2 linked regions of the Drosophila melanogaster genome follow. The protein of the gene in region 2 interacts with the protein of the main gene of each other region in a pairwise test. Each region holds a gene or a part of one and is shown on either strand. Other genes may lie near its edges. The genes, in order: PlexB and CG7366.

Evidence for each region.
Region 1: the proteins of CG7366 (region 2) and PlexB interact in a two-hybrid assay, tested with the Drosophila melanogaster proteins (one large-scale study listed by BioGRID).

The regions. Positions count from the first base shown.
Region 1 is NC_004353.4:35,944-52,610, forward strand, and holds the start of PlexB (plexin B), read right to left. Parts: upstream 7,836-16,667; 5' UTR 7,482-7,835; coding exon 6,971-7,481; exon of another isoform or gene 6,831-6,970; intron 5,343-6,830; coding exon 573-5,342; intron 515-572; coding exon 1-514. Other genes in the region: ci (cubitus interruptus), read right to left, coding at 12,051-14,519, 14,573-14,737, 14,802-15,314, 15,371-16,011, 16,074-16,441.
Region 2 is NT_037436.4:8,192,763-8,207,982, forward strand, and holds CG7366 (uncharacterized protein), read right to left. Parts: upstream 9,656-15,220; 5' UTR 9,565-9,655; coding exon 8,395-9,564; 3' UTR 8,316-8,394; downstream 1-8,315. Other genes in the region: MED24 (mediator complex subunit 24), read left to right, coding at 428-514, 573-730, 800-1,642, 1,710-2,070, 2,128-2,945, 3,089-3,713; CG7387 (uncharacterized protein), read right to left, coding at 1-246; NEDD8-conjugating enzyme UbcE2M, read right to left, coding at 3,978-4,121, 4,380-4,681, 4,760-4,859; Dhps (deoxyhypusine synthase), read left to right, coding at 5,530-5,721, 5,780-6,694; CG13679 (uncharacterized protein), read left to right, coding at 10,097-10,105, 10,171-10,521.

The sequences.
Region 1 (16,667 bases), on a different chromosome or scaffold from region 2:
ATAAATGTTTGTGCAATGACACTTAAACAGGAATCAACGCTGTATGTTTTATTTACATCAAATATAAAATCCGGATTTTTTATAAAATTAACCCAGAATCGAAGGGGCAAACAATTTGACTTCCAAGCGTGCACAATATCAGTATCAGCAATATCATGGCGTCGCGCAGCTTCATCAAGTAAGTCAAAGAGCCATTTAACGGCAGGTGGCAACTCCTCATTAACAGTTAAAATAATTGAGAAAAAATCATCAACAAATTTTTGTATAGTTCCTTTTGTGGCCAGAAGACGTGTAAGGTAAACTTCTGGTATTGTTTTGTTCACCCTGTCATTACAATTATTAACGACATGCGATTGAAATGCTGGTGATCCTCCGGATAACACGGAATTTTTAATGTTCATATAATGATCAGGTATATTGGGCTTAACAAGATGGTAAACCCGGGGCTGCTGCAAACCTGATTCGATATCATTATTAATTATAATATGACTTTGCGAATTGTTTATAAAATAAACTGCAAAAAGGCAAAACAATTAATTAAAAAATTTTTAGATATTGGGCTTAGTACTTACAATTGTGGTATGGTGCCGAATTTTGGTTTTTACTGTATGGTATATGATAATTATCATTTTGACGTGCAATTAGTGACATTACTGCAGATTCTTTGACTCCATAATGAGCTAATGTGTTAAGGCGCTTCCATCCGTTAACGGTTTTGGTTGTCAAGTCTTCATCTTGTAATGTAAGATGACCTCCTCGGCCGTGCCTCCATTCTAAGTCTACTTCGTTTACAGATGGCCTCATAGAGAAAGGAGTGTTTTTAAAAATTGCGTCGAGGATTTTAAGCTTAACTTGAGAAATGGTATCCCAATCGTTAACGCGACATTGGACTTTTTCATCAAGATCATCTTGTAAAATATGCAATATTACAACAGAATGGGTAACTTGTTCATGCAGAAGACGTTCTTCTGAAAGGGAGTAACGGGCATCGTTGGTTATTGCGTCCACTAAACCCTTTTCAATTTGATGCTTTATTGCTTTGAAGAGCAAAAATAAATTTGATCCGGCGTACTCTTTCAGGTAATCGTACATACAAATTGCTAGGTAGTTGGTCAACATTTTTTCAACAACGCTTTCAGTACGCCTTAGCATCAGCTGAGGATGTTTGCTGGCAAGTGATTTATCTATCAAACGTAATAAAAGGGACTTCAAAATTTCCGTGGCATATTCCATCTTGTTCATTAAAACAACCATTATTAATGAGGCAACGTTAACTCGGTCTCTAATAGAAAATGATGAACGTTGAGCTTCTAATGTTTCTATGAACATTAATAAAAAATATTTATTGCCAATCAGTTGTTCAAATTGTACCATAGCTGCGTCATAGTTAGTCTGTGGGCTACCTTCACGAAATTTTGGAGAATTTAAAATAGGATGATCTGATACACCAGGGAAAAACACCTTCATAATATAGTTGACGTGATCTAAAGTTGGTATGCCTGTGCTCTCCAAATCTGCTGTTAGGTCGGTCATGTCCGTTTGGAGCTCAGCGAATGCCTGTTTACACTCAGAACGTACGTTGCTTTCTAATGTAATCATCTGTATCTGAATACGTTTATACTCGCGTTCTGCTTGTGTTGATTTCCTTCTGAATATTATAAGTACAATTACAAAAACAACGACCAGAAGTGCTACCGTTAATATGCCGACTAACAAGGCATGTGAGAAAACATAGGGTTTATTTAAATCATACTTAAGATATCCTATTACAAAACGAAGATTTCGACCTACTTTAACGACAACAAGAGGTAAATCAGTTGATTGATCCACACCATTTTCATCAGTTGGAAGTGGTTGTTGCTCCGGCGGAATGCATAAAAGTTGGTTAAGTGCCAGGCTGGTAATATTGCATTGGGAAGTTCCAATAGTTACATTTACATCGTACTCATCAGCTGCCAAGTTTAATAGCTCGCCTTCTATGACCAAGCTGTCACCCTTGTAGAGTTTAACGCCGTCGTTGGGAAATGGCAAATATTTTGGGTCTGCTAAATAGACAATAGTGCTCCTTATGTCATGAAAATATTTATTCAAGTTTCGAACTAGTTGTACATTGTCCATTACAAAACTTAGTTGTAAGTTTAATTGAGTTTCATGAACCTTAACGAATGTGGTGACGTCCATATTATTGTTAACAAAATAGTTGGCTGAAGATCCTGCATTTGTGTATAAGCGAAAAGTGTCTCCAAAGTCGGCTCGCCGCTTTTTTCTATCATATTCATTTTTATACCTGGTTTCAGTTTGAAACGAAGAATTTTGTAAGTGCAATTCAGTATCCATCTTTCTGTTCGTCTTTTTAAAAGTCTCAAATTTGTAATTTACAGGAGGAGATGGACATTCCATTTGATTAGAGTTGATCACCACACAAGATGTTTTATTTACTCTTTCATTGTCATAAAACACTTCTAGTTCAGGTTTTTGGATGGAATTAAGATATATTCCATGAACGGTGAGGACTCGACCACCACTTTTAAAACTACGCAATGGCTTAATTTGCATTATACGCGGGTCCTGTGTATAGTTAAAAATAGAGCAGGGTTGCCGTGGTAGCGAACGGAGTTGATAAGAACCAAAATTACTTCGAGTCGGATTTGTATTGGTAATGCTTGGGGTTGAGATCTGGCATTCTAGCGTTCTGTTCGCACCATCAATAACTAGATGAAGGGACCGTATTGGTTCAGGTTGGGTCGCTTCTGATGTAGTACAACTAACTTGGGATGATGAAGCTTGTGTAACATCTATATGACACTCATACTCATCTAAAAATGCTCGCATAGTTGAGCCAATGTTCAAAAACTTCCCAATTAAAGACAATTGTGTCCCTCCCGACCTAGGGCCAATTGTGGGATATAAACCTGTTAACAGCACATTCTTAAAATGAAACTGAACACTTGATTCAGTAAACCCTGCATCATTTGCAACTTTTATGGGTGCAGACATTTCGTACAGTGATGCTCCAGTCCGGCATTCAATTTTTACCGATATTTGATAATTTTCTAGTTCACAAGGCACAGAACCAATAAATATTTTGCCACGAACATCTTCCTCCCTTATGCCCAAATTACTTCCTTCAATTGTAATAAGAGTTCCACCCTCGACTGGCCCAGATAATGGTTTAATAATATCAATCCGTGGTAATGGGCACTCGTTTTCTATAGCGGATTTAGATCCTGAGCTGATAGAATTTTTATCAGCTATGCAAGTTTCATTATATACACATGAGTTGCTGCACCAAGCACATTTATATTTTGGATCTCGAGTTACGCACAAACTGCAATCAGGGTGTTCCCGATGGGAGCCCAACACGTCACACTTGTATAATGTAACAATTGCGGTGTCCACATAATGCTGGAAGTTCCATGTAACTACAACCTTCGCCTGATATTCATGTGTATTAATCTCGTAGAAATATGGTGTTTTTTCGCAAACTACAATTTTATTTGACTCAACGTGAGCAGGGAGTAGCATCTGAGCAGCTTCAATATGTATTGTACATAAAAAACCAGCATGTGCGCTCTTGGGTTTTGGTAAATTTTCAATCTCTAGCCGAATTTCTATTGGCACTCTTACGGGTAGAAGTATTTCCGGACGATTTTTTTTTAAGTGGGGGCAGTGACCAACAGTACTTACAGCATTTTCTATGTTACGGCATTGCAAAGACTTGTGAACGCACTTATTATCAAAAATACACCAGTTGCAACCCCAGGAACTTTGTAGACACTCCTGGCAATTTCCATGATGTGAGCAGTCAAAAAAAGCAAAATTCCTTGATACAAAATCCTTATTTGTCTCCGAACTTCTTACTGACAATGGCACCAAAATATGATCAGTGTTTGTTGGTATTAATGGTCTTTCATCTAATGGGGGAGTAGCACATCCGAGTCCGTTTTCCAGAATTTCGGCATCAATGGGGGTGGAATTTCCAAAAACACATCGGTATTTTGCATTAAAAGGTTCGGGCAAAGTTCGAATTATTAAATGCAGGTGCGATAATTCAGAAATTGGTATTTTCTCTGGGATAATAGATTCAAATTCTATGCATTGCTGTCCACTACCTAATGAAAGCCATCTCGACGCAGATGTATCTCGCTGGCATGTTGATCGTACAGTGCACCGCTTCTCCAAGGAACACCATCCACAAAAAGGATCCCGAGACTCTAAGCAAGCGGAACAATTCGTGTACACAGAACAGTGTTCGATTCTAAGCTTAGTTATTTTTCGTTGAGAAAGTACGTAAAGAAAATCTTTTTTTGGCGACATCATTGTATTTGGTAGTATACGATTTCCAGCATCCACAACTATTTCCTCGTACTCGCCCGGACTTTGGCCAGATAATAAAACTTTTTTGATTACTCCCATGTTCGTTCCAAGAAATGCAAGAGAATGCTGCTGATCAGTCGTTGAAGTTGCTGTGACTGACGTAACTGAAACATTATCAAAATGAAAAAGTGCGTGTGCAGTGATTGGGGATACTCCGCTTATTTTAAGTCCCACAGAGCAAAAGTTGTAAATGTTACCGAGCGAACCAACTATTGGACATCTGCCATCATTAATGGTGCCGGATATATAGCCCAAATTTCGATCTTTTGTGGTTCCGTTAAAACACAGATGGATATTTTCAATGAACATGTCTTCAATATCTTTAATGCTATATATACACATAGCAGACTTACTTTCTGGCTGATTACTTATTTCTCTTGAGGGCGAAAAAACCGTTACTAAAACGTGATCGTCTTTTTTTATGCCCATTTTTTGCGCCAATTTGTGGCTGGCTGGAGTTACTTTCGCATCCCTTACAATATTGTAGTCAACATTGTTTTCAGTTGCAGTGCATTGAACAGTTATTTCAGTATAGCTGTCGTAATTAGGATCTGTAATGCAAATGCGTGCCAAGCGTGTTACATAACCGGCCTCATCAGCTAAATGTGATTTTTTTTGAACAATTATGAAGTACGCATATTCAGAAGAATTAAAGCCGTAAATATAATCGACTAGAAAATGATCCCGATATTTTACATCGATATTTATAATTGACTGCTGTATTGAAAATTCAGCATAGTTTAAATCATCAAGTCGGCGGGACGAAATGGCTGGCACGTCATGACGATAATCACCAACATTCGTAAATGTTGTCCCCACATATAAAATATCCTCTTCTTTCCACGCATATCTCGCCGGACCTACAAATGCATATGTAGACGCGTTTTCATCGTTAGCAGCCAATGGAACTGCAAAAAACTGGGGCGTTGCCGGAAAACGTGGCAGGCTGTAAATTTCGCAGGCTCCTGAAAATAAAGATAATTTTATTACTATCGCGGAATTTTTTAAAACCTATTTTAAGGACAAAATATAACACCTAAGTCATAGTATCCATTGGACTTGATATACCCGTAACTTGTAAAGTAAAAATGTATACTACATGTAGAACGGAACGTCACCGAGCCTATAAAATATCAAAAATCCTGATCTTGATCACTAACCGAGTCGATCTACTCATGTCCGTCTGCCTGTCCTTAGCCCACGATTTTCTCGCCGTGGCTCTAGAGGTTGCTCCAGGCTCTCTCGAATTTTTGTTCGAGAGCGAGAGAGCGGAGAGCGCTACAACGAACAGCTCTTTTCTACGCATACAGTGATACCAGACATCTGTGTGTGTGCACACGTGTGCTCATGCATTGTAAATTTGACAATATATGCCCTTCACCTTAGAAGTTCATAGACTTTAAATCTATATTATTTTTGATCAATTGGCACCATGCGAAAAATTCTTGTTTTGCATTGCCTTAACGTTATTATTATTTGAAAATAGATTAGAAAGAGTCAAACCTATGTACATATTATCACAAAAAAAAATTTCAAAAATGACTTTATAATATTATTATATTCATTAGAGTATTCAGCTTTCGACGTGTGAAAAATTAATAAGGCAATGATTGTTGAGTGCTTGTGTCCGCACTTCGTGCCTCAAGATACATATGACTTGCAATAAACAGTTTTCATATTTTTATTTATGTTAAAAATTTTTATTTTCTACTACGTATTATTTTTATGAAATTTTTTTAATTTTAATATGATGTATAAAATGATCCATTTTTATTATTTAAAATGCACATTAGATTCAGTTGTTTAGTTTCAGTTTTTTTTTTGTTATATTCCAATTTGATATTCCTAAAAAAGAGCGCAATTTCATCATATTGCTACGAAATTGGCCAAAACTTACCAAATATGTAAATTCGTTTATTCGATCAGAATTGATTTCAGGAACAGTAAAAATTGTTAACTGATTCGTTGAAAAGTATTTTAAAGACGATTCGCATCGCATGATTGAAGTAATATTATGCCCAAAACTGCCCGCCCATATTTTTGCAAACATTTTAGAATATTTTTTTTAATTTTATTAGTTGCTTAAACTTTTTGCCACGCCTACTCTAACTCCCTAAAGCCGCCAAACCGGTCACGCCCACACTATTGAACATTTTTCAAATTGTTTCTTCTTTTATTCCCCAATATCTATCGATATCCCAGAAAAATGATGAAATTTCGATTTCGAGTTCGCATTCACACTAGCTGAGTATCGGAGATCTTGACTATAGCATATTATCTTGTTTTATTTTAATACTTTAACGTTAATACTACCCAAATTGTTTCAAGAGTTCAACTATAGATTTTTTAATTTATAACATTTTAAAATCCTGTTTTGTTTATCATCATATTCCTTCCGCACTTTTGAATAATTACTTATATTCGCCGCTTTTTTATGTGGAGCTCAAAAACACTGCGACATTGTTCTACGATGACTACAAAAAATGACCAATAACTTCTATAAACCAATACGATATGTCAGGAGTTTCGGTCCCATACGAAGTCGCCGACTTAAGTATTTTATTTTTATTTTGATATGTGTTTGCTATTTTACCTTGTCGAATGCTTCCACACGCTATGAGAATACCATCGTGAGCGTAGCTTACTACTAGAATTTTGTTGAAGTTATTGACAAGCGATGTCTCAATATCTTCCGGACAGCCTCCAGCGTGACATTGCGGGGAATCATGTAACGGCCCAGTAACAGCCTCGGCCAGCACTCGAAGGTTTTCGTTAAGTTTAAGTATTTTATTTGTAGCACCCGCAAACAAAACATTGTGCATAAAGTCGAAGCTCATGTGAGTAAAATAATTTTTAGATTGAGAGTCTCTAACACTTTCTATATTGTTTCCAATTGATCGATTGCCATAGCTGGAAGCTGTTGATTGAACTGGTATTGATGGCAAGTTAAACTGGGCGACTATGTCATTTAAGGGAGATAACGCCTGAGCCGGCAGTTCTTCAATGCAGTTAACGCAATAATGCTGAGAACCGAGTATGATAATAATACACAGTACATGTAAAACATGTATAATGTTTGCACAATACAATTCCTTTCGCAACATATTTATTTGTGGTTTTGTGTATGATCAGTTTGTAGTTGAGTTTGGGCATCAATTCCCCATATGTCATTTTTATTATTATTTAGCTCTACATTCTCTCTCCTTAATATATAAACTTTTTAATATCGATTGAATTTAATGCGAATTAATTTTATATGCCGCTGATTCACTGTAGGTGCATAAATATTTTTAAATTAAAATGATCCATTTGGCTATTTTAGGTTTAGCGCATTTTTTATAAGGTTGTTTAACACAAAAAATCGATTAGTCAATGTAAACAAATATTTATTTAAAAAAAACTTCTTAGGCAACGCTCAAACGTTGTGTGTACACTATCAGTCCTAGAGCAGATTATTAGTATCGGCTGTATCAGCCTATCGCATACAAATTGAACTATCGAGCTAGAGGGCATTGTAATGCTGTATTCACAAGGAGCACATTAAAGGGAAGCTTACCATTAAAAACCTCGGAAGTATTTATGTAGATATCGTTTAAATGTTTTCAGTTCTGATTCCACATCCAATCAATTGGCTAATGTTAAAAGAAAAAAGAAAGAAGACACCACCGATGGAGTCTAAAATGTTCCAGGAACATTTTTGTAAAATAATATCAATGAAATGGTAGTCGCGTTAAAAAGAGCAATCTCCAAAGAATCTAAATTGATCTCATCTTCTTCCATGCAACACTTGCCGTGCGCGCTATTTTTATCTTAATATTGTTTTTGATTCGAGTGTTACAGACCCACCTATCTCTACACAAAGTTTTGAACAACATTGATTTATGTGGCACGATGGCTAAAATTTTATAAAATTATTTTAAAATCATAACATGTTTAATGTTAAATTATTTCATTAAGGGTTTCTCATGGCATGGAGGCTTCAACGCCACGTAGTGTTTGGGACTATTTATGTATATACTTATACTAATTTTACTTATGTACCTTTTTTACTATTAAAATTATATAAATTTAAAAAATTTGATTATTATTATTCAACAATTTTTGGAAAATTTGTCCAACGAATGGCTATTTTGCTAATCAATTGTCTTATTAATAATTTATTGAATTTCTCTACAACTGTAAATTAAGACCAACCGTCATTAAGACCTGTAAATTATTAACACTTAGTTAAATAAGTATCACTAAATAGATTATATCGGTGGGTTTTAAATTTTGACTGAATTGAAGATTCGATTTTTATATATTCTCAGAGAGATTTCTGATCCTGTCATACGTACATATGTATATACAATTTCATTTATTCTCCGAATATATAAGTTAAATTAGGGAACCACTACAGATATTGAAGTTTTATTTGTGGATTTTTTTCAACACTTAGCATTGGATATTGACCCCTATAAAAATGCTTCATCAATCCATTTGTGTAGTCACTTTGCAAGGGTGTACTTCGGTTAACCGACTATATTTCAAAGCGATAGTTAATGAAACTTATGCTGCTATCACATTATTTACTGTGAAAATTCTTTGTGAACTGAAGAGCAATCGGGAACATCGATCTTGACAACGCCGAATTCGTTTTGGTATAACACAGGATCTTTAGTTTATACTTGGTTGGCATCACATCGAAACTTAGCACGGGAAACCATGGTTAATCGACAATATTTGCGCTGTGCAACATGTACAAGTACATAAATAGAACTGTTTACACATAACAACAATGTATCAAAAATCCGTTAACAGCCGACGTGAACACTCGAAACATAACCAGACCTGCCGCAGAAAATGCTGCGATAAGAGATGCTAAAGAGATAAACCATCTCTTACCAAAAAGTTAGATTAGATTGACCAAAGAGGTTAATGTGTACACTTAAACTGTCTATAATCTTTACAACACATATAATGACAAACATGGATATTTTTCAACTCAATAAGAGAATAATTTATTAGGAATTTGGAATATCAAACGGCACAATGATACGCAGCTCTTACTTACTTACTTTTTATTAATTTTAATTTTCTTTTTACAAAAAAAAAAATGTATGCTTGGAGCAAATTATTAGGAATTATATAAGTATAATATTATTATTATAATAGTGTTATTCCCAGCTAAGAACAAATCGCTTGTCATCGGGAAAACGTTTTTGATTTTATAAATTAGTTTCCACCTTTCCAGTTTTGTTGGTTTGCACTCACAACTCACAATGACGCAAATGATTGCTTATTCTGTATTTTTTTATTCTAGTAGGAAAAAATCTACATTGGCAACGCTGCTGCCGTGAAGCTAAGAATGCAGTATTAAAAAGCGAAACAAAATAATATCAATAAAAAGGTTAATGGTAAACTTAGGAACTTCCAGCTCTTAAACCGCGCAAATATTTTCCTTTATGTGATAATTAAGCAAGGTCATGTAGAATCTATTGATAAATTTCTGATTACAAAAAAATATTTAAATATTCGTTGGTTTTAAAAATTGGAAGCAATTGACCCCAACAAATGCTAAGCACGAGCTCTTGTGACATTGTCTACTCCGAAAAAGGAATGGTAATCTTTTAATTTTTTGATCCTCTTCATTGTAATTAAAAATACGTCTCATTATGTAACACAGTTTTGGATTAAAAATCGAGCACACTACAAAATAAACTTTTAATAAAAAATATAAGACAACATAACATATATAAGTGAAAATAAAATGTAAGAATCATGACGAAAAATGTGTTATTTTTATATTACACATAATTATATTTATTTATTATAGTACAATGACCAATATATTTACTAAAGGCAGCCATTATGAAGAATGCAAGGGGCAACATACATACATCAAAATTAAATCGAAAGAAGTTTATTTAAAAACTAAACAACACTCTGACCAAAAACCAATTATAATTAAAAAATCAATTAAAATATTAGCTAAGTGTGTGCTTTTTAAATACAAAATGAAACGTCTACTTGAGTTTTTAAACCTTTTATTCTTTTTCTAAATTCCTTAAAAAATATTTCAAAAAATGAAATTAAAATTTAAAATATTCAGGGGTTTCTTAAGGTAATTGAAACAGATCGAACTGCTATAAAATTGTAATTTAAAATACATATATTTTATTAATCCATAATCCGAAATTTCGACCTCTTACTCCTACTGTCTAAGTAAGAGATATCTGTTAGTCGAGGAAATAAGCTATAGCGTTCTGTCTTTGTAGGTTTCGGTCAAAGACACTGGAATAACAAGACGCGTAACGGCCATACATTGGTTTCAAAATTGCGCTCTGTTGTCCCCTCGCTTACGCTGAGAGCATAAGAAATCTAAAAATAGAATTTGCTTGCTTGTGTGAGTAAAAACAATAGATATATGTATGTGTGTGTAGTTGTGCTAGAAGACGATTTTCGGGCCGAAATCAATTTTGTTTAAAGAAACAAGAAATGGATATTCGCCATTTTTGTATCGTATATGATGAAATAAAATAATAATTAAAAATTCACGCCGTGACTATTATAATTTTAAAGTTTTTTTATATTCGTTTGCTAAAATCGCCTCTTGAATTAGCTACCGTTTACATATTTATATTTATGTTAATAATTAATTATATGTAATATATGTAATAATCGGTACCCACGGGACAACACGGGGAGGCCATTGCAATTGTAATTCACATGTCGCAAGCAGAATACTCTAATGGCCTATATTCTAATATAAAGTCATTTTTAAAATTTATTTTGTGATACTATGTACATAGATTCGGCAACTACTACTTTCAAGCTATATTTAAATAATAATAACATTAAGGCAATGCAAATCAAGAATTTTTTACATGGTGCCAATTGATCAAACATAATATAGATTGAAAGATTAAGAACTTCTAAGATGAAGGGCAATACAATGCATGAGCATACGTGTGCACACATAAAGTTTTCGGCTGCCACTGTATGCGTAGAAAAGAGCTGTTTGTTGTAGAGCTATCCGCTCTCTCGCTTTTGAACAAAAATTCGTTAGAGCCTGGAGCCACATCTAGAGCCTCACCGAAAAAATCGTGCGCAAAAAAATCTTATGACGTTACGCATCTCGTTATTGTAGTGTCTTTTTTTCGGTAAGGGATTGGAATGCTTTTAGAATTTGAAATAACAAATATGTATGCCCCCTTACCGAATATATAAAACATTATTTTATAATTTTAATTATGCCATATAAATATAAGCCCACGAGTATGCAACGCCTTTTTTGTTAGTGGCGTCATAATTAATATTATTGTAATACCGGCTTACGCCGGTATTAAGGCTTATTAGGGCTTACGCCGGTATTAAGGGGAAAATAAATTAAAATAAATAAAAATAATTATTTAGTAAGAGCATAATCATTGCATTTTAATGTTTAAAATAGCTCGGAAGACATTATATTGTTACATGTATTTAGAATATTTAAAATAAAATTCTCGTTTTTGTAAAATAATAAATGAACTTGATTAAAGGACATTTGTAAAAAATATTACAGTGTTGAATCAGGATTTTAATTTAATTTTGTTTTGTAATTGGTATATTGCCTATAAAGTAAATACAATCTAAATAGAATAAAATAGTTTATTATGACTGATTTCTTGTCAGTGTTAGCTAGATAACATTTTTTACTGCATCATTTGAAGGTATCTATTTTCCTCGAGTAAGGAAGTAAGGGATGTAGTCATATCGTTGATCACCATATTTGTCCCATGATATGGATGTGTAGAGCTGCTAACATCGGGAAACAATGTATTGTTTACCGGCATTCCCGGGAGGCTTTGTATTTGATTGGTAGATGTGTTGTTCGTCTCCATCCAGTTTTGACAACTTTGTACATATTCCAGAGTACGCTGATATGTATCTAAATGCATAACCGAAGTATTACTCGCTTGGGTGTCACAAACTATTTTTTGTGGTTCAGGGGGAAATAATTTGGATGTTGTTATTGGTTGCATATTTACGGTAGAAAACTGACCATCATTATTCAAATTAGTGGAAGGTGACATTTGAGATTGACTTATAATGCCGCATTGGATTTCATTATCATGATCTCCGTGTACTTTAAATATATTTTCTGTTTCGTTTCGTGGATATATTGAATCTACATTAAGTTCTGGCAAGCTAGTCATCGATGAGTCTATGATTTGATTATAATTTGATTTTTCTGTTTGCCGTTGATGAGCTGACGGTAATGCTGATTGCTGCTTGGAGCCAATGTCAGTGTTCATATATTTTTGAGACTGGTGATGGAAGCTTTCGCATTTGGCATGCCCATGTTCATTTGGTACAGCTAGGGTACTTAATTCTCTTTGACTGAATGAACCCCCGACCGCCGTCATAGCAAATTTGTCTTGTACTGTAAACTTTGTTGTATTTGGTTGTATATCAACGTTAGAAGGCGGTGTTAAAATTTGTTTATTGGTGTAATATATATTTGATTGTTCTCGGTAGTGGTTTGAAGCTATAGTTTCGGATACATTTGACCCCACAGGTACAGCTTGATGTTCTTTTTCCAAATGATTTGTGTCGTCTTTTACCAAGTTTAAGTACTGAAGCATTTCATCGGGAAGTATAAGTTCTTCAACTTCGTCCAAATTTATTCTTTCATTTGGATGTTGGTCACTAGTCATTGCCATGTCAGCCTTAATTGAAACAGTGAACAGATCCTTTCTTAAATTGTCCTTATTAATTGACGATGCTATATTATTAGTCTTTCCGACATTAATATCAAAGCTATGCGGTGTTGTACTGAACCGAGAAATATTTGTTAATGGATCTAAGTTTATGTTTGGCACTGGATCAGTTTGACGTCGTGCATTACTCGCTATTGCTTTATCAAATTCGTTTTCTCCGACTGGTTTGTTGTTTTTTATGTGTAAAGAATGCATATAACTAGGAACAGAAAATCGCCCGCTAGTGAAATTGTGATATTCTGAATCTTTCCGCTGTAAGCGCTTTAAGTTTGTTGCAATTAAGTGGGACGATGGAGGTGGGGGTAGACTGCTATTGTAAATTCCAACACCCTGAACCCCGATATTAGGTTTATTAATACATGCATTTAAGCTTTTGTTCGATTCCTTATTTAATACGGGTAGTCCTGATGTGGAAGTAAATGAATTGCAGTTAGCACCATTTGACATTTGGCTAGAGCGCCGTGAGCACCCTGGTGAAATGGGATCATAAAAGGATGCAGTCGAGTTACACGAGGGGTTCGGTCGCATGGTAGGTATAGAAGACACCTGGGATGATTGACTGCTACGACGACTTTGCATGCTACCGTAATAAGTGCTTGCAGTGGAATTTTGACTATCGCGACGAAACTGTCCTTGTATCGATCCGGAAACAGTTCCTTGCTTATTCGATACTGTATTACGAAAACTTGTTTGGTTTTGTAAAGGGTCTTCCGTATATCCTCCTATGGTCGTGTTTGGGAGCTTAGGAATTTTAATTTCAGCATCAGTACCTGGCTCCATTTTCAGTTCTGTAATACGCTGATTAAGTTCGCTAATTCCAAAGGTACGATTGCTTTCTGGAATGTTGCAAAGCATAATCGTACTTGAATTTATACCTTTAGTTTGAAGACGACCTCTAAACCGTTGCCTAGCCAAAACAGAACCTCCAATAGTCGAGGCGGATGCATTTCCGTTACCAATATTTACCATAGCACGTAACACAATTGGTAGGTCTGCCACGTCCACGTCATCGTCACAATTCCAGCCATCATCCAAATTAAGATTTTCAGCAAGATCATCAGGTGAATATGTTAACAAACTGTCAGATGCTCGAACTCCATTTACTAAGTGATGGTTTGATGAGCTTATATCTGATTCAGATTTAATGCTAGGACTAGACGTGCCTAACATTTTTCCCAAATGTGAGTCTTCACTGCAAGGGCTTGAGTCGATATTGTGCTCTTGAAGATTATGCCGACTGTTGTTTTGTTGTAACCGAGAGTTTGCGTCATTTAGAGGCAACCCCTTATGTTTTTTATTTGCATAAAATTCAGCTCCATGGACTGTTTTTACATGTTTTCTCAAAGAGCTCGGGTCGGTGTAACGTTTTGTGCATCCAGGTGCTTTACAAATGTACGGTTTCTAAAAATAGCTATAAATGAAAAATATTACTTTTATATAGATGAAAGACTTACCTCATTACTGTGTGTTCGATTTTGATGCTTTGCGCGATCACTAGCATTACTAAAGGCTTTGCTACATCCCGGATACTCGCAAGTGTATGGTTTTTCTCCTGTGTGTGACCGTAAATGAGTTTTCAGGTTTTCCAAACGTGAATATGCCTTAAAGCAGCCTTCAAACTAATTTACACATGATTTAAAATGGAATTCATATAAATTGTTTTATATAATTTATTAATCTTACCGTGCATTTGTGTGGCTTTTCACCGGTATGACGCCGCATATGCACAACAAGCATATACTGCGCTTTAAATGGTTTTTCACCGCGTGTACAATCTTCCCATCGACAGACAAAAGCTTTCTTGTTTGTTTGAATATGATCATTATTTATATGTTTAACAAGTTCATCTTGCGTAATGAACTCAATGCGACAGCTACGCCAATGACAATTTGTTTCAATGAAATCTCCGGGTTCATCCTTGATATCCGTAGTATCAGCATTAGCACAATCATATTCATTTGACGGAATCGAAATTGATCCGCAATTAATATACTCATCCAAGCGGCTGTTTACTTTAACGTCACCAGGAATGCCTGTAATATTGTTTACCACGTTGTTGTAACAACGGTCAGACAACTGTGAAGACGCACTGTCGGCTTCTACTTGTGCTACGCCGCCAGATGTCGATGAAGGCTGCTCGGGGACAACATCTTTAAAGGGTCCCTTTTTCTCTCTTGCATCATCTAAGTTCTTCAACTAGATAAACGATATAATATAATCATTTTTAATATTTTAAATTAATTAACAATTACCGAGAATGCTGCCGCTGGGACCTGGCTTACATCCTTTGTAACAGTTGGGGATGTTGTTATCTGGATATGTGAATCGCTTAGATTAGGATGTACGTCATTCACTCTCAAAGAAGCAGAGGTTGGCATATGCCCTATAGAAAATCCAGATGCAGCAACTTGTTGTGGTGTCATCGGATTTAACAGACCTGCACTTGCACGCAATAAATGAGCTTGTATCTGTTGCAGACGGGTTGAATGAACATGAGACATGGGATTAAGGGCGGTAGCAGAAATATGACCGTAAGAACCACTAGCCGCGCTGCTTCCTCGAGAACCGTTCATAATTGTGGCTAAAGAGTTTGGCGAAAATCGAATCATTGAATTAATATCAAATGAATCGGAATAAGGCGATGACGAAAGTGCTCGTTTGCGGCTTATGCTGGCACGTATACTTCCTCCTGGTGGTCGAGGGCTACCCAACCGCCTGTTTCCATCAACACTGAAGTGAAAATCAGTACTTGCGAGAGATCCGGCTGCTGCTGCTGCCACAGCAGCATTATGCAGTTCACCCAAAGAGCTCAAACCTCGGCTGCCCAAAAAATCAGCTGATCCCAAACCAAGTCCGGCAAGATGGAATGCTGATGCACAATTGACATAGGGATCTAACAAACAAAAATCCATACTTTTTAAGGTTACTTTTTTACAAATACAAGAAGTTAAATACCGTGAAAAGATGAAGCTGAATTAGTTCGTTGAAGAGAATACAACTGTTCCATGTATCCGGGAATTCTATAGGCCGGGTGAAAGTCATGTGGCTGTCCAGTAACATTTATATTGTGAACATGTTGAGGCTGATGATTGTGCTGGTGGCCAGCATTTCCAAGAAGGGTGTTTTCATTGCATATTTGTGGTTGTATTGAAGTTTTAATTGAATCTGATGTTCCACCCGTTGGAATAATTGATGGCACTGTTACCGAGCTTGAAACGTCAGTTGGGTGATGTTGGTTTATGCATGGTGATCCTGGTAAAACAGTAGCCGCTGCAGCGACGGCAGCTGCTCTCCTGGACGCTAAAAACTGCAATTCAGAATACCTATAGGAAATAAAATAAATTTTTTGTTAAATTTTGTTTATCATCTATAAGTGCGTAAGTACTATAAATCGTCTATCATCACCCAAAAATCTCGTATTTGGGTTTACATTTTTGTAATCATCATTTTTACTTAGGGAGAAAGAAACGTTTGACTTTTTAGAGTATATATTCTTGAACAGTCGATCTAGCCATGATCGTAAGTCCGTCCAAGAGCCAAGGAACTCTT
Region 2 (15,220 bases):
CTGTTGAGGCGTGGCTCCCGCTGACGTTCGCTTCGCCTCCCGCTGGCGATCTGGATAGTAGGCTGGTTTCGTGGTCCTGAACTGATATTGACTGATCATCCGCATACAGATCCAGCAGGCAGCGACAGCGGGAGCGCGATCCAACTCCAAACAATGTGACGTCTTCCTGCAGCAATCCGTTGCAGCTCCGCTAATTAAAGTGCTTAATACGTCTCCAGGACTGCGAAATAATTTTAAACGAAACATTTTTTATCGCGTAACGAAATATGCAACTATGTGTGCTAACTATATAAGTGGAAATCCTAACTAGATTTTTAAGTGGTTCTGTTTCTGTTTATTTTATGGGGTTGTGACCCAGATATTGTGTTAAAGTTTGACAGGAAAAGAAAATGTTTCATTATTGTCTTTCCCTTGATTACTATTTCAGGTGCTGCCGAGAGGAGTCAGTGGAGATGTATACAATCTGGCTGACTGTCTGATGCAGCAGGCACTCATTGGTTCCACGGCTAATCCGGTGAGTAGTTGATCTGAGTATTTAGATTGTTTTCTAAATTGTAATCTATGCTTTTCAGTTGGTTCTTAACTACCTGAAGCATTCACTGTGCGCCCATCTCGTTTCTCACGCTGCTGTTATTCGGTGCATTGCCAAATATGACAAATTAGAGCGCGTTTATTGCATTACAGCGCTCCTTGAATTCCTGGCCAGCATCGTGGATGGCGTTACCTGCCGGTAAGTCCTTTTAGTTTTATAAGTCGTTAAAAAGCAGGAGTAAAAATAATTGTTCATTTCTATTTCCAGAATAAAATCTGAGGAAGCGGTTTTACCGAGTTCCGTCGTCCACTTGGTGTACTGGCTGCTTCAAATCTTCGCCAGAACTGTGCAGCACTATGAACTGTATGGTGAGATTAGTGCTGAGCAATCATACATGCTGGACCAGACCTGCGTGGTGATAGATCGGCTTAGCCAGCAGCAGTTCCTGCTGTCTATGCTGTACGTGGGCTGTCACGAAGAGCTCGAAATATGTGGACGGATTCGGGATAAGTACGCTACCATCAAGGGATCGTTGACGAACTCAAACTTTACGCTAAATGCACCACAAGTGGAGCAGCAATTGCAGCAGTTGGCCTTTATAGAAGCCAAGCATCTTGAAATGCAACCACTTAATCCGCCGTCAACACTCGAGAAGATCTCGTGCTGCGTGCAACCCTTACTGGCGGTGGAAGTGCTTCTCAATCCGTGCAAGGACACCAGCTACTACGTGGCTGAGTTGCAGATGCTGCAACGATTAAAGAAATACTCCAATACACGGCTCTTCTACGAAATCATCCGTGCTGGATTCCTCACGCTGAGCAATGTTGCGGATACAAGTCCTGACACTATGTGGGGTGCCTTTATGTTCTTTAAAATGCCGCACATCATTAAGCAATTGCACGCCCTGCAACGGATTCCCGGGGAGCAACCACCACCGGCCGATTACATACCCGAGTTGGTGGAGGCTTTGGAATTGCTCATCGAGGACAATCTGCTGCTAGACTTCATGGATACTAAGTGCTCATGCAATATGATCGAGTTCCTTTTGAATGACTGGACCAAGCAACAACTAGTCAATGATGTCCACGTAAAGAAGTTCGCCAGTCAAAGGTTAGTCGAGAAATCATGCATTTTGTACACCCATCTTAATTATATAATTTAAAACGAACTCTTTCAGGGAAGCCGCCTCTCAATTACTCAAAAAATGCGACAATGGCCAACAGACACCCTCCAATATAAACTTCATCAAGCGCGCAGAGGTTCCGCTTTCCGGAGTACTAAAAACGCTGTGCACCAACAAGGTCCAGGACATGGTTAATGTCCTTTGCCAAGTGCCGGTGGGCAACAGCTTCGAGTTGATTCTTTCAGTGGCTACCGTCGAGGGACGCCTCAAGACATTCGTATCGCGTCTGATCCAGTGCAATGAGAACTCCAAGCCGGTGCCGGGCGACCTGGGCAAGCTATGCGTCATCCGGTCCACTCTGTTTGATGTTTCCTTCCTAATGTTGACAAGCATTGTGCAGACCTATGGATCCGATGTTCGTAAACCCGCCTGTTATTACGCTGCAATTTTAATGAATTCTATTTTACTTCAGGTGGTCTTATCTGAGCGTGGTGACTCATTTTTTGAAAAATGGGTGCGTGAGTGCATGGTGGAAAGGAATAAGCTTAAGAATCCGCGTCAAATTCTTGCCCTCTGTGATGACAGTATTGTCGACGAGCTTTTGCTTAGCTTCAGTAAACCAGAGGCATCACAACTTAAGCCAAACAACTTAAGTTGGCAGGAGACTTGCCTTAATCTGCCCGGAGTGCTTCATCATGTGCTAATAGCTTGGGAGCAGGAAACGCTATCCTCGGCGGACGTTAAAAGTATTCTGGACAATATTAAGAGAAGACTTTTCAGTTTTTCCGTTTGCGCCACTAGTTTTCTATGCGCCTACATGTATTCGGTGAAGGAAACGGAACTTCTGAAACCACTAAACATGATTCAGCAGTTCCTGGCTCCGTTGACCAGCGAAGAGCTTTCCAGCCAGGAAAATGCCAAGGAGCGACTAGCTCTCTCCTATCAGATTATCAGAAAAATGCAACACGATGTGCATCCTGCCCCAAGTACCAAGTCCCGCCTCATTTCACATTCCCCGCTAGTCGAGCAGTTTCGGGAGGTGTGGCGAACAGTAGTCGATGCTGGTCACCTGCCCGTTCGCGCCGCTCAGTCGTTGGAGTCGCTTCTGCTAGCCGGTGGCGCGGCGTGGCTGTCCACGCAGTTGGTGGAGCAACTGCTGGCCTGCAAGTACACAAGGGATATGTCGCGAACCATGGACGTTGTGTTTGCCGTAATGCATCTCGACATTGAGAAGACCACTGAGGCGTTGCTCCAGTACGTGGTGGCTCCACTGATACTGCGACGACAAGGGTAAATACCAATATTTTCTTCTGTATATTATTTCATTTATTTATTATCTACAAATCGAATCGATTTAGCAAGAAAGGATGTAAAAATTGAAACTGCTATGATAGAACTCGTACTCACAATTTGGCAATCTTTTTTTTTTCTAGTGAGGACATTAATGAGCCCCAATCCCTGGTACTGGCCCGCCTCTGTGTTTACTGTATTATTTCCTGCCTGGAGAGCCGCAAAGGAAATGGCACTTCCGCTTTGACGGCCATGAAGAAGCGATCGAGATCTCACGATGACGAGGAACTGGCGGCCAATGCAGCCAAAGTGCGCAAGGTGATTGGCGATGGCAGCGACAACTCAAGCGACTTTACGGACACTACGACCGGAGCTGGCCTGGCAGCATTATTGGGCTCCACTTCCACATCTGAACTGCGGACTACGCCGCTTACTCTAAGAGAACCACTGCAGACGAGCGTGCAGCACATTTTCGCAGTGTTCCTGCAGTTTGTCAGTGGAGATGAACTGTCGCCCAAGGCCGTTTTTGTTTATCAGTTCATTTCGCTGCTGGTGGAATGCGGTGGTGAGAGGGTCGCTCCCGTCCTGCGCTTGCTGCCCAACGGCCTGGTGCAACAGCTCCTGAAAGTTTTGGTCACCGACGACATAAAAGTGGGTCTCATCAGCAGACTATACGATCTGCGAATCCAGGCAGGAAGACTGTCCGCTGTGTCTGATCTTTGCCTGTGGCGAAATATGCAGATGGCCAGGCACAGCATTCATCTGTGAGGGATTTGGATGATTGCCACATTGGGTATGCCGATTATGATTAAGAGACGGGTGGGCGAAATTGCTAAATGAATTGTATTAAAAACTAGAAATTGGTGACTTGACTCGGCTTCTTCTTTGCACGCAGTGGATTTTGTTTTCGTTTATTACAATAATTTGTTGTCGCCGATGTTCGTCTGTGTTTTGCTTCATCTTCTTCAGTTAGCGGGTGTAGGGGGAGGTGTATGGACAGGCTTAAAGTAAGAGACCTTGCGATTCCCTATATCACTTGAGCAGACAGCACTCGAAGTAGGTCTCGCCCACACAGCCACCACGCATCGCCTTCTTTACATTGTTCTCGAACTGACGGCGGTTGGTCTGCAGGACGTCGGCCGCCTCCTTGTTGAGCGGATCCTCGGGATTGGGTTCCTGGAAGCAGTTAATTTGGATTAGTAATACTGTTGGCTTGGGTAATAACAAAAATAGAAATAATGATCGTTAAGTGGTATAAACAAACATTTATATTGAATTGTTTCAGTGGGCGTTCAATTAAGCACACTTAGAAATCAATTGTTCACAAAACAAGACATAAAAAATCAATTGTAACTTGAAAACTGTGGCTGTTGATCAAGACTTATGGAACAAAGCGTATAGCCTCTAAAATAACACAAATCACGAAATACAAACCAAGAATAGAAACTGCAAGCCATAGACGATGGAGTTGATGTTCAGCACTGGATTCCAGTCCTCGCGCAGAATGTTGAGGCAGACGTTGCCATCCAGGTCAATATTGGGATGGTACACCTGGGTGGCGCACTTCACCTTGGGCGGCTCGTGCGGATAGTTGGATCCGACGCGGAAATTGAACACGAAGCGCCCGTCTCTGTAGAAGCCCTCGTCGGGCGAGATGATAAGCTTGAAGTTGAGCAAGTCATTGGGATCGGGAAAGTCTGTGGCGCAAGTGTTTGGCAGGTTCAGTTCGTTAATATCTGGGGGGAGGAAAACAGCCCAAGATGGATAAGTAATAAGCGAGAGTTGATCATACCAGGTGCTGGATTGGAGACTACCTTTCTGTATGCGCAGCTGGGCGGCGGACGCTTTCTTCTGCTGACTGCCCTTTTGCTCGCCGTCTTTCTTCTGCTGCTTAAGCGTGAATAGTTTAATCATCTTGGCGTCCTCGTCTCGCTGGCGTTTCGTCTTCCGCGTTTGGCTGTGCTCGAAAGTTTCTGGCTCTCTGGGGGGCTTTTGCTGCTTGAGGGACAGGTTGCATTGTTTGAAATGTCAGTGGTTTAAGGGCAATTGTTTCACTGAATCTTTGGCCTACCGTTAACAATAGAACTGATGTAAAAAATCACTTCGAGTGCTTTCTATCCTTTCCTTGTTTCTGCCCAGCGATATGTGTAATTAATCGATGGTTGCACCCGATAACAGTCTGCTCGATAGTTGTTGCGTAGTGCTGGTAAGCGGACTTCGGATTCAGCGGGATTCAAGCCAAGTTTGGATACTTCGAAACGAAGAAAATTTTAAAACCTAAATTTTCGACATGCAACCGGTGTCGTAATATATTTGAAAATCATCGTCATAATTTTTTTTTTTAAATATATATATTAAATATATTTATTTAAATTAAACGCAAGTCTTTGATAGCTGGTTTTTCTTACTTCGTTCCATAACTACGTAAAACTTTGCAGATAAATTTAAAGAAATATTTGTTAGCTACTTTGCAAACCACATCTCTATCGGAAACCAGGGCTGCCTTAACCAGCACATGTTGATTAATGCATTACGATTGGGCTCCCCTTGAGCTGTTTATTTTGAATTTCAACAATTTCTGATTATGTCGACGGAGCCATCGGTGGCCAAGGATGCTGTGCTGAAGCGCAGCGAGGCTCTGGCGGAAAACACGCCCCAAGTTAGTGGCTACGATTTCAACGAAGGCTTAGACTACAGTAAGCTCTTCGAATCCTATGTGAACACCGGGTTTCAGGCCACGAATCTTGGCCTGGCCATTCGGGAAATTAACAGAATGGTAAGTTAGTAACTTAAATACATAACTACGATATGTTACAAACCCCTAACACTGGCAGCTGGATTGCAGGGACCAGCCATTGGAAGCGGACCAAATAGACAGCCATGAAACAGACGACTTCATCCGTCGAAGAAGCAAGTGCACCGTATTTTTGGGCTACACATCCAACTTGGTTTCGTCCGGACTGCGAGAGACCATTCGCTTTCTGGCCGAGCACCGTATGATCGACTGCATTGTGACCACAGCTGGCGGCGTCGAGGAGGACTTCATCAAGTGCTTGGCTCCCACGTTCATGGGTTCATTTGAGCTGAGTGGCAGGGATCTCCGCGAGCGTGGAATCAACAGAATTGGCAACCTTCTGGTGCCGAACGATAATTACTGTAAGTTCGAGGACTGGGTGATGCCGCTGCTGGACGAGATGCTGGAGGAGCAAAAATCCCAGGGAACTATCTGGTCGCCGTCGAAGATTATTCATCGGTTGGGCGAACGGATTGGCGATCCTAGTTCCATTTACTATTGGGCTGCCAAGAATCAAATACCAGTCTTTTGTCCCGCCTTGACGGATGGCAGTCTGGGCGACATGATGTACTTTCACTCCTTTCGACAACCTGGACTCGTGGTGGACATTCTGTCCGATCTGCGGAGGCTCAACACCATGGCTGTCAAGGCGGTCAACAGCGGGATGATCATCGTGGGCGGCGGCGTTATCAAGCATCACATTTGTAATGCCAATCTGATGCGCAATGGAGCGGATTACTCAGTGTTCATTAATACTGCCTCGGAGTTTGACGGCAGCGATAGCGGCGCTCGACCGGATGAGGCTATATCGTGGGGCAAGATCAGGAAGGATGCCACCCCTGTTAAGGTGTATGCCGAGGCTAGCTTGGTCTTTCCGTTGATTGTGGGTGAAACATTCGCCAAGCGGCATCACTGCGCCGGCAAAGAGCTGCCCCGAGAGACTAACCAAGTGTAAATATATACGAGAAAATAAGGACAACGCAATCAACGCAAATGTACAGATGTAACTTATTAAGGAATGGTTGGGCCGCAGATGGGTCGTATTGCGAGAATGGAAGTCCCCGAAGTGTTATGCCCCGCCCAGATGCAAACTGTCCGGGCAGGAAGCCATTAAGCGTCGTCGGAGTTGTTGGCTGCAAGTGATAAACACCACCGGCAACAGCAGCAACAGCATTGCACTCCGGCACCTCCAGTGGGCCATGCACATTCCGCCGTAATAGTGGTTCTGCTGCTGGAATCGCTTTAGTGCCGCAAAAATGCAGCTTTTACCGGCGGTCACAGATGCTATATTCCTCGTGGCCTTAGTTTTATACGAATATTCCCTCAGTTCTGCCCATAATTGTTTGCGAAGTTCGCTCTCGCTGGCAGGAAATCGTCCGCCACGGAACAGTGCATCCGCATAAGCCCACGAAATTTGTCATTAATTTTATGCCACTAATGTAAGCGCTCGGCTTCCGTCATTTCTTCAAAATTTTTCTCCCTTTTGGCCAACCAAACTTTGGCTTGTCTGCACGCATCATTAAAGCCATGCGGAAACTTTTTCGCGCACTTACATTTTGTCCCCTCCGTTCCGGCTTCTACGACAGTTGGCACTACATATTTTGAGCTATTGTCAGGATGCAGTTGCGAAAGATGGACTGGCTGAAAGTTTTGGGGATTGCAGAGGCACTGCATTTTCTTTGACAACTTTTTCCCGACTGCTAGCAACTTTTTCTGTGACTTTTGCCTGGCTTTCTTCGAAAATGAATGGTTTTTTGGGAATGCGGCGAGGAAAAACTATTATGTATGTTCTTTGGCGTATGCATGGCAAGAAATGTTGGCTTTATCAAATTTTCGAAATTTATACGCTTTTTTAAGGCCGCTTGAGATGTTTCGCTTTTAAAAGTTTTCCTTTGGGAATTAAGAAAATTAAAAATCCTCTTAATACTGAATAATAATGTGGCATCAAAAATAATTTATTTCTGAAAAACTTATGTTAGCTGCCAAGAAAATCAATTGCACTTATTGCACAAGCAAAATGCCATTATCGGCAGTCAGCCGTCGTTAAGAAGTGCTTAACTGCATGTTGTCATAACCATGGCCAAAACACACCCACGCACACGCACACACTCTATTTGGGCCCACTTAGGATATATATGTATGTATATCCACCACCACATACTCTTTCGAAGCGCTTAAAAACTAATTACGAACAAAGCTGTTGCTGCGCTTCCTACTTTGTTGTTTTTGGCTGCGTTTTCTTTTCCCATCCTCGCCGGATGAAGAAATGGTCACTACACTGAGGAAAATTAAAGAAATTATATGTATATGTTATATTATTTTTACAAAATTGTAATACAGTTTGTATAGCCTTGGGAAATTGATTTAAATTAAAAACCTTAATTATAACATTAGGCACTGATGTGATTAAAACCAAACTTTCCTCGCGGTGTAAGTGCGTAGATGATTGCCGACTTTCCAGGACTACAGCCAACTTCCCTTCGTGATTACGAGAAAATTAAAACTACATTAAAAGTTTTGCCGTTGACAGGGGCGCAGGCGGTGAAAAGTGCGAGGGGGGAGGCGTGGAAGTTTTTAAAGCAACTCAACGATTTATTGATGCCAACAGGAAAATAAAAATATATATATTTATAAAAGTGTGCTGTCGCTAGAGGATTACCATTTGTCTATGGACATATCGCTCAGTGCGTCAGATAACTTCTCCAGATCCACGACATCATTGGTTTTTTCACCTTTGCTGCTCCTGCCTATGGGATCCAGAGGTCCTTTTCTAATGGACATTTCTTTCAGACATGAGTCACACTTTAAGTTAGTGGAACTGGGACTGCGTTGGTCATCGGAGGAAAGTCCTGCAACTGCCAGTGTGGCGACGGCCTGGTGCCTCCAAATGAAATTCTCTCGACGTTTCAAGTCCTCGGCTAGAGCGCGCAATCTTTGGCGCTCCAACCTTGTGGATTCCTGTAATCGTCGCACCTTGTCCTCCTTCTCCTTCAGGTCGTTCTTTTCCTGGCACAAAATTTGGTCATATAGCATGCGGACATTGTCGTCCCTTCGCGAGCAGGCCCGTTTCACCATGGCATTCAGAGTATTCTCGAAACTGAGATCCAACTCGGAGATCTGCAAGCTGGTGATCATATCGTTCCGCAGAAAGGGCTCCAGGCAGGTGGTCAGAAAATTGAGTCGCACTGACTCGCCTGGCCATTTTTTCAGAAGCTGGCAGGCCGCACGGCAGGATTGATAGATACCCTCCTGGGGAAGTTTCGTTTTGGCCAACGCCGACTTCTCGGCAATCTGCTTCTCCAGAATTTGGCTCCTGCTAAGGTATAGCTTTTCCGCTTCCACCGTGCGACAGTGCAGCGAGTCGATTTCCTTAAGCAGATCCTGGTTAGACCGCTTAATGCTCTCGAACTCGGGCGTGGAAATGGGATAGGGCACCCCAGGGGAGAAAGAACTACTGCCACTGCCATAGTTGGAGACATTGGTGTCCGAGTCCTCAATATCTTCAACCGGCGACATTTGCCCCTCCTCCACAGTAGTCGTCCCATGGTACTCGTTCAGCAAATCGTCCATGGGGCGACTCAAGTTCTTCAGTTCGGTGAAGGGTTTGCTCAAGTGGCCAAGATCTCGCAACTGTTCGCACATCATCAGCAGCATGCAGTTTCGTGCGAATTTATCCAAACCCTTGGCGTTTTGGAAGTGCTGCATCCAACGCTGACTTATGTCGTGGTCATCTTGGCTGACAGGGTGCTCCTTGGAATACAACTGCAGGCTGCGCAGCTCGGAGGCAAAGTGGCTGTCCAGGGCGAACTCGCTTAACTGAGTCATTCTTGGATGCTTTTTTGTAGGTTTTTGAAATTTTAATTTTATATTTTTTAGATTTTTTGTGGGTTAGAATTTTGTGATAGGCGGAAAACGAACAGTTGATCGAAAATGTTACAAATATATAGAAAATATACTGCTACATTGATATTTTCGGATACCAAATGATAGTAATTAATTACTCATTATGAAGCATGCTGAAAGAATTGTGATTTAAATTAATTAGAGTAACTGAAACCGATTTCGCTCAAGGTCGTTCGGGTCTAGGAAACCCGGCAATGCCCTTTACGAATTCGGTCCGCACGTGACAAGTGTGCGTATGGAGCAACAACGTCTTCAACTGGCCAGTAAGTTGGATCGGAGTCAAAGACGTTGTGCTGCCATGTCGACGACGACAGCTGCATGTGTAAGCGCGGCCTTCGCCGGATGACCAAGTGGGTTGTATATAAGCTGGCCAGCTGGGTTAATTCAACATCAAACCTAGCTCACAGCTCCCAGTAGTCACTTCTACCAAACAAAGCACCAATCAACAATCAACATGAAATTCGTAAGTTCATTGATTATCTTAAGGATTGATGGGATCTATTAATTAAGGAGTACTTCTGTCTATAGATCGCCGTCTGCTTCTTCGCTGTTGTGGCTGTGGCTGCTGCCAAGCCTGGACTTGTGGCTCCTCTGGCCGCCGCTCCTCTGGCCTACACCGCTCCGGCTGTGGTGGGCAGTGCCGCGTACGTGGCTCCCTATGCCTCCAGCTACAGCGCCCACTCGGTGGCTCACAGCGCAGCCTTCCCAGCTGCCTACACCGCCGCCTACACCGCTCCCGTTGCTGCCGCCTATACCGCTCCAGTGGCCGCTGCCTATGCCGCTCCCATCGCTCCCTACGCCGCCGCCTACACCTCGCCCCTGGCCTACAGCTCTCCCTATGTGGCCACCGCTGCCGCTCCTCTGCTGCTGAAGAAGTAATTCAACGGACTGTGAATCCTACGCCTCAATAACAAATTTTTAAATACATGATTTTAAAATCCACTCGCTATGGTTTCAACTCAACTCAACCTTTTAACCCCTTAATAATCGCGGGGTCTGAGTTTCCGTGCATTTTTGCCACCTTTCGCTGCCTTTCGTTTGCCTTAATGGCACAAATACCGGAAATACCTGCGAGGAGCCAACTGCCATCGTTTCCAACTTCCTTATTAATTTCTCGAATGCTGCTTTGGTATTTCTTCAGCCCGCCTGCCGCCTCTCATAAATTGCGCAAATTCCTCTTGCGAGCGTCAAAGAAAAATGTCATCGGGACGACGGTGGTGAAGAGGTGTTGGGTGGAAGTCGAGTGGAGGCGGCTCTTGTGGCCACATCTAATTTCTCTGTATGTCTCGAGCACGCTTATTAAAGTATAAATCATTTGATGACTGCCTCTGCAAAGTGACCAACAAATACGTCACAAAGAAGAAGCCGGCAAACGACAATCAGCTCAAAAAGGAAAGAAGAAGTAAATGGGCGAGGTCCTGGGAGCCGAAAGGACTGCACTGCCCGGATGGTTAGCCAAAGTACATTATAGTCCTTGGTCGGCTGCAGGCGGCAACAAATGTAGCAGAAAACCGCAGCCGAGAGTAGTGCAATTAAATACAGGAAATAATGGCCACCGCAGCACTGGCAGAGGCAAAAGCAGGAGCCGCTGGATGCTGGTGTTTTGGGGGGTGGATCGCTGGTCTGGCGGGGCACAGGAAACGACAGGATGCAGGAAACGCTCGCACAGCATCTTGGCCAGACCCAGACCAAATTTAGAGGCGGAAAGAAAGAATCTAGCAACATGCAGCCAGATGGAAGCCGGTGAACGCTATTATGTAGACACATTAAACAAAGATGGCCCAGGGGAATGGAATCTCAGAAGCGACTGGGTCGTACTTGCGGATATATATCTCTTAAGTATTTTCTTGATGGATGACTGCGGTGCAATTAAACCGGTTAGGTACAATGCAGTGGGCAAATAATGTCACGAGGAAATCTAATAACGAGTAAATCTATTTATTTAAGTGTCAAATAATTTAGTATCAAAGATAAGTGAAAGATAATTATAACTTTATGCTGAGGTAATTTAAACTGTGGAAGAGGTATGGTATAAAGAGCCTTTTAAGACCCACGTTGCCCTTTATAATATTTATTCATATGCCACGTAAAGCTTAAGAAGCTTCTATCAAGGTGCCACTTACAAGGCGGCCCTAATGTGCTCTTTACATGGTGCCTCTTATACGGTGCCCCACACAATGCGTCCCCTACAGGATGCCCTGTATAAGTTTGCCCGCCGAACTTGAGCCGTAAAAGGTAGGGTACCATATTCCCAGCAGGAATAGCATTATTTGCATCCGGAGAGATTGACTTCTTAATGTTGCGCATTCCAATCCGAACCGCACACACTCTCACAGAGCCAACAACTGACTGCGGTTTTCTGTGTCCTGTTCCTGAGAAGGACTGCTAACCGGACATGTTTGCGGAGTGCGAGTGTGTATGCGAAATATTTTATAATTCAATTTTCAATTGGCAGGTTTGAATCCTTAGATATGCCCGCACATCCAGAAACTACACAGATTCTGCGAGAGCATGTACATACGTAGAATTGCATGGGTTGTCGGGCTCTAATTGAATTCAATGTGCACTTAAGCGACATCCGTTCATAATGAAATTTCGCAACAGAATTGTGGCAAGGACAAAAGAGTCGGTAAATATTGTTGCTATGCTAATGCAAAGTTGCTGCCTCTCCTGCTTGTAGCATATATATGTACATGTATATATATACATATATTTTTTATTGCACCATAAATAATCGGAAATCGGAGATGGAGAAAGTCACAGAGAGTGCAGCCTGGCAACGGAGAAATTGAAATTAAATTGCCGTTCGACCGAAGGAATCCGATGCCAGGAGCCAGTGCCAAAGCATAGCCATCCATATCGTACATACCGCCATGGGTATATGGCAAATACATTTCTATATACTTTTCGTGCATTTCAGCCCGTCCTGTTTTATTTCATTTGACGTTTTATTTCGCACTCTGCAAATAATCGATTGTCCGTCCGTCCGACTCAGTCAGTCAGTTGGTCCGTTTGACTCTCCATCGGAATGGAATGTTAGCTAAAGTATGAGCAGCTGCTTCAATATTGCGCATAGAATTTCACAATTTCGCACACTGCAGGAAAATCGAGCTGGGCAATTTTAAATACGGTCAATTAGCAGTTTTAAATTGACGCCCACTTGCCACTTAAATAAGTTGATCACATTAAATGTCAAAGGAATTCAATTATAACTTTAACTGAAATAATTCATGTGATACACAGTCGATTACTTTGGTAACAAACTTATAAATGTAAATGTTTTAACAATTGAAACAGAACTAATTTAATTATTAAAACTATTTTTTTTAAATAACTTAACACTTCACAAATTGAGTTAATTTTTATAATTAAGTTACTACTTGCAGTTTTAAACTATCTAGCCAACCAACTTGGGTTTAATCTCTTTGCACAGTGTCCTGTGCACAAGTCAATATGCGTTTGATTGTGTGTTGCGTAAAATTCCTTACGATTGACTTGCCCTGGCGTTTTATTGATTGATTTGCAATGCCACGAGCGGCTGACAATCAGCTATCAGCCACCATTGGGCTTCCGATGGAGCAACAGCCTTAGTTCAGCTCAGCTCACGTTGCGTATGCGTAATATTGTTATGCCACATCCTTGCACGCTCCTCCATGGAAAGTTTGCACAAGAAATTCAAGCAATGATCAAGTGTACATTTTAATGAAGCCGCCTCCGTACTCGTTCTCGTATATATGTATGTATGTAAATACAATAAATTGCGCACCGAAATCAACTCTATTGCATGCCAATTTCCGGACCAAAAATATGAGCGATTTTCATATGCTTGGCAGTGGGGAAAAGTTTTTTCATTAAAATTCTCGAATGGTGGCAAGTGGCAAGTTTGGCCAGAGAAGTGGGTAAAAGCCCAGCTGGGCTAAGTGAGTGCAAAATGTTATTTTATTGTCAACAAGCAAAGTTGCCACAACCACTCCGAAGACGAAAACCAGAGCCGCACGACTTGTCGTGGCGGATGTCAAATTTATTTAATATGCAGCATAAACAAAGCAGCCAGGACACGACGACACGCTCGTAAACTCATTTGCCAGCGGAAACAACAGTTCCCACCGGCTGCTGTTGGCAATTTTTTAATACGACCTCAAGGACCGACTTCCTGCTCCAAGTCCTGTCTTCATTCGCCTTATGAAAAGTAAATATTTTTGCGTTTTCTATATGTATGTATATCCTATTCGGACAGGGTAACGCCCACAACTTTTTTCATTAATTTGTATAATCCAGAGTGCTAGTCCCAAACCGAAAAAAAAAGAGAAAACCCTAAGGAAGGCATTACGTAAAAGTCAATAAAAGTGTTGTTTTAACTTCTGACACTTTTGGCCTTCCTCGGCACTCATTGTCAACTTCTGCTTTCAACGCAGCATCTGGGGGAATTTTCATAATTTTTGGCTACAAAGTTGAATTGATTAATAAAATATGAGCTGATGGGTAAGGGAAAGTTTGTCAAAGAATATTACAAAAAATGTAATTCTTTAGTGCTTGTACTGAATTGTTGATAAGTGCTCTTCAAATCAGAAGGATGGTTATTAAAAATGTTAATGCAAATCGTTCCAAATTGAAATGTGTTTTAAATAAAATTTAAAAATATATATTTACTTTATTACAATTATATTAGCAAACATTTTTAGCATTTTGTTTTACTCTATTGCAGAGCATTGACTTAATGGAACTTTAAACATCCTGTTTGTTTGTTTTAAATGATTGTTAGCTTGTAATTGTAAGTTAATGGACTTGCGTTTACTTTTCATTTAAAACAAAAACAATTGTTTTGATAAAATATTTTAAATTTGCTGGCAACGAAAGTTAATCAGGGTTTTTATGCTTGCAGCTGCAGCTCTTCATCATCATTTATGAAAACATTTCAGCGTTTCAGGTCTGGTTAACATGCAAATTTAATCGGCAAACTAGTTGCTAACTTTTTAAAGACGAACCAAAAGCTCATATTGAATTCTTTCCATCCGCCAATCATGCTTCGTACTCCATCTGGTTAAACCAAAGCCACCGGAGAATGGAAATGATGATGGGGCCCAGAAAAAACAAGCAGAATCATCCATATTCATGATGCATGTCGGTAATGGCATTTCCAAGCCAACGACAAGTTGCTTAAAAAATCATCCAAAAATTCGAGTTAAGTGCTAGAGGTTTGGCGGCTCCTCCCATCCCCTCCCCACCCCTCATCCACATCCTCAACCTTACCACATCCGCGTCCGTATCCAGTGCCACAAACTCCTCCTACGTTCTCCTCCGCCACATCGCTATATCATGCACATCTGTCATGCTCTTTGCTGCAGATGCGGTTAGAGAAATGCACGAAAATGGAAAAGGGCCAGGAACGGAACTAAAACTGCACTCAAAAAGCTGAAAGCGGCAAGAAATTGGGTACAGGCACATTCCCCTTAAAGCTTGAACTCAATATGTGCATAACTTTCGCTTTCCGGCGACAGAACCCCCCCAATCCCATTCCTTTGCCTCCTTTGTCCCAGGCAATCTGTGACCCAAATCCAAGGACCGACCGCTTTAAAGC